Linked DNA regions of Neurospora crassa OR74A. The protein of the gene in region 1 purifies or fractionates together with the protein of each later gene. This does not show direct contact. Links are inferred from orthologs where the notes say so. Each region holds a gene or a part of one and is shown in the gene's direction. Other genes may lie near its edges.

What was found.
Region 2: the proteins of NCU09528 (region 1) and NCU03764 purify together in Saccharomyces cerevisiae (affinity purification with mass spectrometry; 3 studies listed by BioGRID). This does not show direct contact. The link is inferred for Neurospora crassa OR74A from reciprocal best matches to the Saccharomyces cerevisiae genes NOP16 and YTM1.

What each region holds. Positions count from the first base shown.
Region 1 is NC_026505.1:4,474,348-4,477,779, reverse strand, and holds NCU09528 (nucleolar protein 16), read left to right. Parts: upstream 1-1,060; 5' UTR 1,061-1,229; coding exon 1,230-1,345; intron 1,346-1,426; coding exon 1,427-2,009; 3' UTR 2,010-2,755; downstream 2,756-3,432. Other genes in the region: NCU09527 (hypothetical protein), read right to left, coding at 3,104-3,432. UniProt on the Saccharomyces cerevisiae protein: Involved in the biogenesis of the 60S ribosomal subunit.
Region 2 is NC_026505.1:2,340,042-2,343,641, forward strand, and holds NCU03764 (microtubule associated protein), read left to right. Parts: upstream 1-1,394; 5' UTR 1,395-1,588; coding exon 1,589-3,052; 3' UTR 3,053-3,167; downstream 3,168-3,600. Other genes in the region: NCU03763 (DNA polymerase delta subunit 2), read right to left, coding at 1-580, 636-945, 1,011-1,060; NCU03765 (3'-5' exonuclease/helicase), read right to left, coding at 3,426-3,600. UniProt on the Saccharomyces cerevisiae protein: Component of the NOP7 complex, which is required for maturation of the 25S and 5.8S ribosomal RNAs and formation of the 60S ribosome.

The sequences.
Region 1 (3,432 bases):
TCTCCATGTTGCATTGAGGTTGGATGGGGTTGAAGAAGGAGGGGGAGGTGGGTAAGATGTTGAGTTCTGCTGCGAACTATGGGCTGGGCGTTTGAAGAGAGAGGAGTTGGGGAAGAAAAAGCAAGACCTCGGTCGCTGTCTAGGTACTTGTATAGGCAAACGTCTAGAACACCATGAAAGACAATTGGCTGGCCACTACAGTACACCTATGTATGTCGAACGGCTTCCCATTCTGCGCAGTGTTCTTCCGGGCTCTGATGGGCATTGGCCGGCATGTAGCAGGGTGATGATGACCGAGGCACTTGAAATGAACATGTCAACAGTTAGGTCGCATACTACCGAATGTCTTTGGAAGTACAAGGCTGACATTTGAAGGCGGGTTGGATTTGAATAAAAAAGAAATGAAATTTCAGGCATGACCCGCGTGCCTGCGTCGAATGGATAGTGGCGGGGGCCATGGAGGGTGTTTTGGGGATGGGATGAGACGGGAATCAAGTTGCCCTACCGGAAAACTTGCAAAGTGCGTAGCTAGTTATTTAGCAATGATTACAAGTCTGTTCATATCTCCAATGGGTAATGATCATGGTGACAATGGTGAGGTGGTGACTGGCGCGGCCGCTGGCGCCTCACCAGTTGCGAGCAGAACAAGAAGCCGCGGCTATGATGGCCGTGAAAGTTAGGGTCCAATTCCGAGGAAATAGTCGTTAGGTAAGTTGCCATCATCACCCTTGGGAGAAGGATTGTTGATGAACGAACTGGTGACGGCAATAAAGGCAAGCAAGATACAAGAGGATTAGAAACGGAACCTGAGGAAGCGGTATTTATGTACGTGCTTACATACAATACACCACTTACACTACCTAGGTACACACTTACGCAGTAGGGACTGTATCTTTATTACGGCCCTCTTGCCAGCTGGCGACTGGACTGAGGGAACGTACCCAAGCTTGCCAAGTAACGAACAACCTGTAAGGTCGATAAGGGACAACAGCCCCACTATAATTCTCTTATCGGACAGGAGCCATTGCAGTTCCAGTTCAATCGAGTTCTCTGGGGTGGTTTCCCCCGAAATTTTGGTCAACTTCCGCCTTCGTTGTTGTTGTCGCCGTCATCGTTCTTTGCTGGTTTACTCCCATTTCGCCTTCTTCTTCCCAGCATCTTTTGGCAGTCGAACTCCTGTCCTTTCAGCAACACCACATAGTACCTACTTCCCGAAAACCACAGCAACAATGGGCAGAGAACTTCAGAAGCGCAAGAAGCGCTCGTCTCGCGCCAAGGTCCAGACGCATACCATCAAGAAGAAGGTCTTGAACCCCCAGGGCAGCGGCATCGTTGCCAAGGCCTGGTAAGTACCTTTCTCTTCTTTTTGTTGCCAGATATTCGAGAGGAGATTCAGTACTGACATGCAAAAATTGATGTACTACAGGAACAAGAAGGAGACCCTCTCACAAAACTACTCCCGCTTCGGTCTCGTCGCCAAGCTCGGCACCGCCGCCGGCGGCATGGCCAAGAAGTCCGCCGCCGCCAACTACGCCGGCATCACCAAGGATGATCCTTTGGCCGTCAAGTCGGCCGATCGCGGCCTGTTCGAGGTCCGCGAGGTCAAGGTCGAGCGTGACGCCTCGGGCAAGATCGTCAAGGTCCTGCGCTCGGACAACCCGCTCAACGACCCGCTCAACGAGATCGAGTCCGACTCCGAATCCGAGGAACCCAAGCCCAAGAACCCAACCCATGATATCGAATGGCACGGCATCAGCGACGACCGCCAGGAGATGATTGCCCAGAGCAGCCGGCCCGAGGTGGTCCGGATGCTCGAGGAGGAGGCGTCGCGCCCTGTGGAGAAGACGGTGCGCTACCAGAGCGAGCGCGAGCTAGAATGGCTGCAGCGACTAGTGGCTAAGCACGGCGACGATGTAGCTGCCATGGTGCGCGACATCAAGTTAAACCCGATGCAGCAGACCAAGGGCGACATTACCAAGCGGTTGAGGAAGGCTGGCTTGTTGCAGTAAAGAAGCGGACGAAGAAACGAGGGAGGGGAAGAAGGGGGCAAATTGCATGCGCGAGTGTGATGTGAACTTCATCATCACTGGAATGTGACTGCTTCTTGCAAGGGGATGTTCTTGGGATCACCGGTGAGCTCGGTTTGTGGTCTGAAGATAAGGGTAGAGATGAGGGAGCCTGGCGACAAATGCCCGGACCCATGTCCAGTCTCGTCCTGTAAGCTGGGCTACGAGAGTCGGCGGGAGGGAGAAAGAGCGACCCAACACGGCTGATCCTTCAGCCGAGATGGCTCTGCTCGACAGGTCTCGAAAGAAGAGAGCAACGGATTTTGTCTTTCTCTCTTTGTCTCTCTTTCTCTCTCAGACTGGTATAATGCCAGTTAGACTCTCCCCGCTGTCGCCTCATCATACTTCGCTTCAGGGGGCGACCCTCTCGTGGAATGGGGAACTGGCAAAGAAACAGGTGACGGAGCTACTTCGGCTCGCGCTCCCTTGCTCAACGGTAATGAGCAAAAGCAAAACGGATGATGGGACGGGAACCAGGATTTCTTGTGCAGCATACATACTATTCATTAAGGCCACGGGCGTTTTAGGCGTTTCTCAAAGTACATGAAAAGAATTAGGGCCATTGAGCCATCCACATATATCGTATCATATCTTGTTTGTCACCTAGAATCATGTTCTACGTAGATCTCCACAAATATGGGAGAGTTTAATAAGAATGACACAGATACAAAGCATTCCATGAAGCCGATATGAGAGCTTTGTGATTCATTGTTGATGCACGAAGATATCTCTCTCGTTTCTATGCATGATAAACCAACAAGGACCTGTGACGCCTCGCCAACGACACCCCATAAAACAAAGCCTACACACATACATACACAAGAAAAAGCCCAAAATGTTTCGTCTAGTGCCAGCCAGCCCCCAATAACAAAAAAAAAGAAAGCAGGTAGCCAAGACACTTTGTACATGACCTAAGCATGCTGCAGCGTATAGCTACCCGGTATTGCATCCGCTTCCAGATCCAAAGTCGATCAGTCCAGCTCATCCATATCCCTTGACTTGAATTCTCGACCCTTCTGTTTTTTTTAATCCCATTCTTACACATTCCCCCGTTCGATTCCTACTCGGCCGTAGGGCGCAGTGGGAAACCTTGCCGATGGCTCATCCTCGTAGTCCCCATCATGCACACTAGGCGGCGCGTACCTGCTGCCGCCGCCGACGGAGGATTGATAATCGTTATCGTTGTCAAACGGGTTATCCTGTCTGAACGGGTTCTCGGACGGCGCCACCGAGCTAGCGCCGTACCGACTGGTTTGGCTTCCCAGGTAGCTCGGCGTCACGCCGCGGTTGTATGGATCAGCAGATAAATCGGTCGAGGGCGTGGCGCCGCGGTATGGGTCGGGCGTGCGGGCCGTATTCATGCTCA
Region 2 (3,600 bases), about 2.1 Mb from region 1:
ATTTTTTGATTTGTGGTTGGAACTTGTTTGTTACGGTGGTGGTGTCGAAGGCAGCCGCGGGTTTGGCCTGTTCGGCCGCCGTCGTGGAGATGGAGTTCCCCGCTATGATGAGGCGGGTGATGTGTGAGAGCTCGTCGCGTTGGACGGAGGGATCGAGCGCTTCGCCGAGGAGATACTCGAGAAGCAGGTTGAGTTCCATGGCGTAGGAGGTGTCGGCGTTGGAGAACTCGAGGCCGGAGACGAGGGCAATCTTTTTAGAGGAGGGCTTGTGGGACTGCCTGGAGAAAGAGGCGTCCATCATTTCGACGTCTTCGGAGGAGTCTGCTTCCTTTTTGCCTTTTGAGAGCGACCAGCGCTCGGGCTGTGGTGGTAGTTCGGCGAAGAGGAGGTCGATGACTTCGAATTCGCCGTTGGCGTTCTCGGTGCCCATTACCGCGACGATGCAGCCGGTCACCATGAAGTGGTTTTGCAGAGCGTTGCCGACAAGACGGATGCGGCCGGAGTCGTCTTCGAGCATTACCGAGTCTTCGCCGTTGCCGGAGTAGTAGTGGCCGACCGAGGTGGGAGCGGAGATCCAGCGCTATAACATCATTGTCAGCTGCCTGGTGTCCACCAAAGGATAGGCTGAAACTCACATCCTTGGAGACATCCTCGAGGATTGAGGGCTTTAGAGGCATGTCCATATATACTGTTCCAGCTACCCAGCATAGTTCTCCCTGGCGAACGTCTAGGACACGCTCGACCCTCTTGACCTTCTCACCACCAAGCACTGTTCCCTCCCAAGCGGCGCTGGCGGCTGCCTCGACGGCGGGCCTGATCTTTGTAAGACGCAAAAAGTAAATATCGGCATATTGTTGTTGATAGGGACGGGTTTTTTCGAGTTTGAAGGTATGAAGGGGCTTGTAGTTGGTGATCTGGCGCTGGAGAGCCTCGGGCGCATCGCCTCTTCGTGAAGTTGGGTTGTTAGCTGATGATCGCCAGTGGAAGATGGATGATCCACTGCTACTCACGAGGGCTTCTGTAGCAAACCGCTACCGAGAACTTCGTCCAAGGTGACCATCGTATGATTGATACTGACAATGGCTCAAGATGTGAGAACGACAAAAGCAATTGGTGACTTATTCATGTGCTGCCCGACTCGGAAACTGACTTCAAGGGACGAAACTCGACGACGCGCTTGACAATTTCGAGACGCGTAGCTCCAGTGGGTTCAATTAAGCCAGGTACATGACCGGTACTACTCTATACTAGTATAGTTTACATAGTAGCGGCGCTTCAGCACTGTGACCCTCACAGGAACCGTCGGCCCCGCTATAAAGTTCCGATAAGATAGGGGAACGTGGGGTAGCTAGAACACTCCAGACCCCTGCGCTGCAAGGCTGGACAGAAAAAATTGGATGGAGTCTTGGATTTGGCATGGCCTTGTGGTGTCCGCTGCAAAGTAAACATCCACACTCTCCTCCCGACGACGCCTGTTTCACGGTAATCTAAGCCAATCTGACTTTTACTTGTCAATTGATAGTATTCAGCCTGCCCATACCGAACAGCGACTACCCAATTCACATAATATCACAGCACAGGCACCGCCATGGACCACCCTACCGAATCAGGCGCCCAGGTCCGGGTGACCTTCACCACCCAGGAGGAGGACATCCAGCTCGATGAGAGCAAGCGCCAGCTCCTTGTCCCCGCCGACATCCGCCGTTATGGCCTCTCCCGTATTCTCAACTCCGAGTCCATGCTCGACACCAACTCGATCCCCTTCGACTTCCTTGTTAACGGCAGCTTCCTCCGCGGCAGTCTTGAAGAGTACCTCAACGCCAACGGCCTCTCGCTCGAAACCAACATCACCCTTCAGTACGTTCGCAGTTTGATCCCACCAACATACGAGGCCAGCTTTGAGCACGACGACTGGGTCAGCGCCGTCGATGTTCTTTCCGCTACTTCTCCCGCGGGCCGCTGGTCCGGCGACAACTTTCAGCGCGGCCAAGATCGCATCCTCTCCGCCTCGTACGACGGTCTCCTCAGGATATGGGACGCCTCTGGAAATGTGATTGGCACCTCGCCCTCGGGCAGCCACGGTGGTCACACTGCCAGCATAAAAGCTGCCAAATTCCTCTCCAGCACTCAGATTGCCTCGGCCGGCATGGACCGCACAGTTCGCGTATGGAAGTACACCGAGTCGGGCGAGTCGTACGAGCGTCGCGGCGAGCTGAAGCCCACTCTCGAACTGTACGGCCACACCTCCTCGATCGACTCGCTCGAGGTTGACGGCGCCTCGAAGCGCATCCTCACTGCCTCCGCCGACGGTTCCATCGGTTTCTGGACCACCTCCAAGGCGTCCGCGCCCGAAGTCTCCGATTCCTCGCTCCTTCCCGGCGCCCACACATCCAAGCGCCGCAAGCTCGCGACCTCCGTCACCGCCGCCCAGCGCGGCCCGCTCGCCCTTATGAACATCCACAATGCGCCCGCCACGGCCGCCGTCTTCGACCCCCGCGACCGCACCGTTGCCTACTCTGTGTCGCAGGACCATACCGTCAAGACCATCGACCTGACCACCTCCAGCGTGGTCAGCACCTTCACAACCTCGCATGCGCTCCTCTCTCTCGCTGCCCTGCCGCGCTCCTCGGCCTCGGCGCCCCTTCTCGCCTGCGGCACCTCCGCCCGACACATTACCCTCGTCGACCCGCGCACCAGCACGGCCGCGACGAGCGTCATGACGCTGCGTGGGCATGCCAACAAGGTGGTCAGTCTGGCGGCGAACCCGGAGAACGAGTACTCACTGGTTTCGGGCTCGCACGACGGGACGTGCCGGATCTGGGATTTGCGGTCGGTCCGGCCAGCGACCAAGGACGAGGGCGGCATGGGCAGCGTCAGCGAGCCCGTGTACGTTATTGATCGCGAGAGCCAGCAGGGCAAGAAGAAGAAGAGCAGTGTGACGGGCGACGGGTGCAAGGTGTTCAGCGTGGTGTGGGATCAGCTGGGCATCTTCAGCGGTGGTGAGGATAAGAAGGTGCAGATTAATAAGGGGAGGGGTGTGAATGCCGAGTAGAGGAAGAAAAATGGTCGGGAAAGAGGGGGTTGTTGATGAAGAGAAGGGAAGCAGCAGAACTTGGTTGTTATGATATACCCAGGATAGATAAAATGGAATGTGAATACTGTACAGGATATTTTTGTGATATCTGCAGGGACGAGGCCAAGAACAGCCGTGACAGATTCTTTCTGAACTAAACTGTACGCGAAAACTGTACTGACCTGGAGCATAGACTAGATGGCTTCTGCAGAGCCCAGTCAGGTTGTTCTGAGGATTATACAAGGTTCATCTACCAACGTCTAAAAGTAGCCAAGTCGGTCTCGGGGTATAGGTGCATCGTCGACATCTTTCCTTTCTTGTTCAGCACTCGACCAGCAGCTTGAGAGCCGGCTCAGTGACTTCTCGACATCTTCCTCAACCTCTCCACCTCTTCCTCATCAACCGTCGCTTGACTGCTGCTATTGCCCAGCGTCAACTCCTCATCAAAGTCCAAATCCCCAGCCTCCAACGCAGCCTTCATCACATCCTCCACGCTCTCTTCCTTCGGCTTTACCTCCACCTCTGCC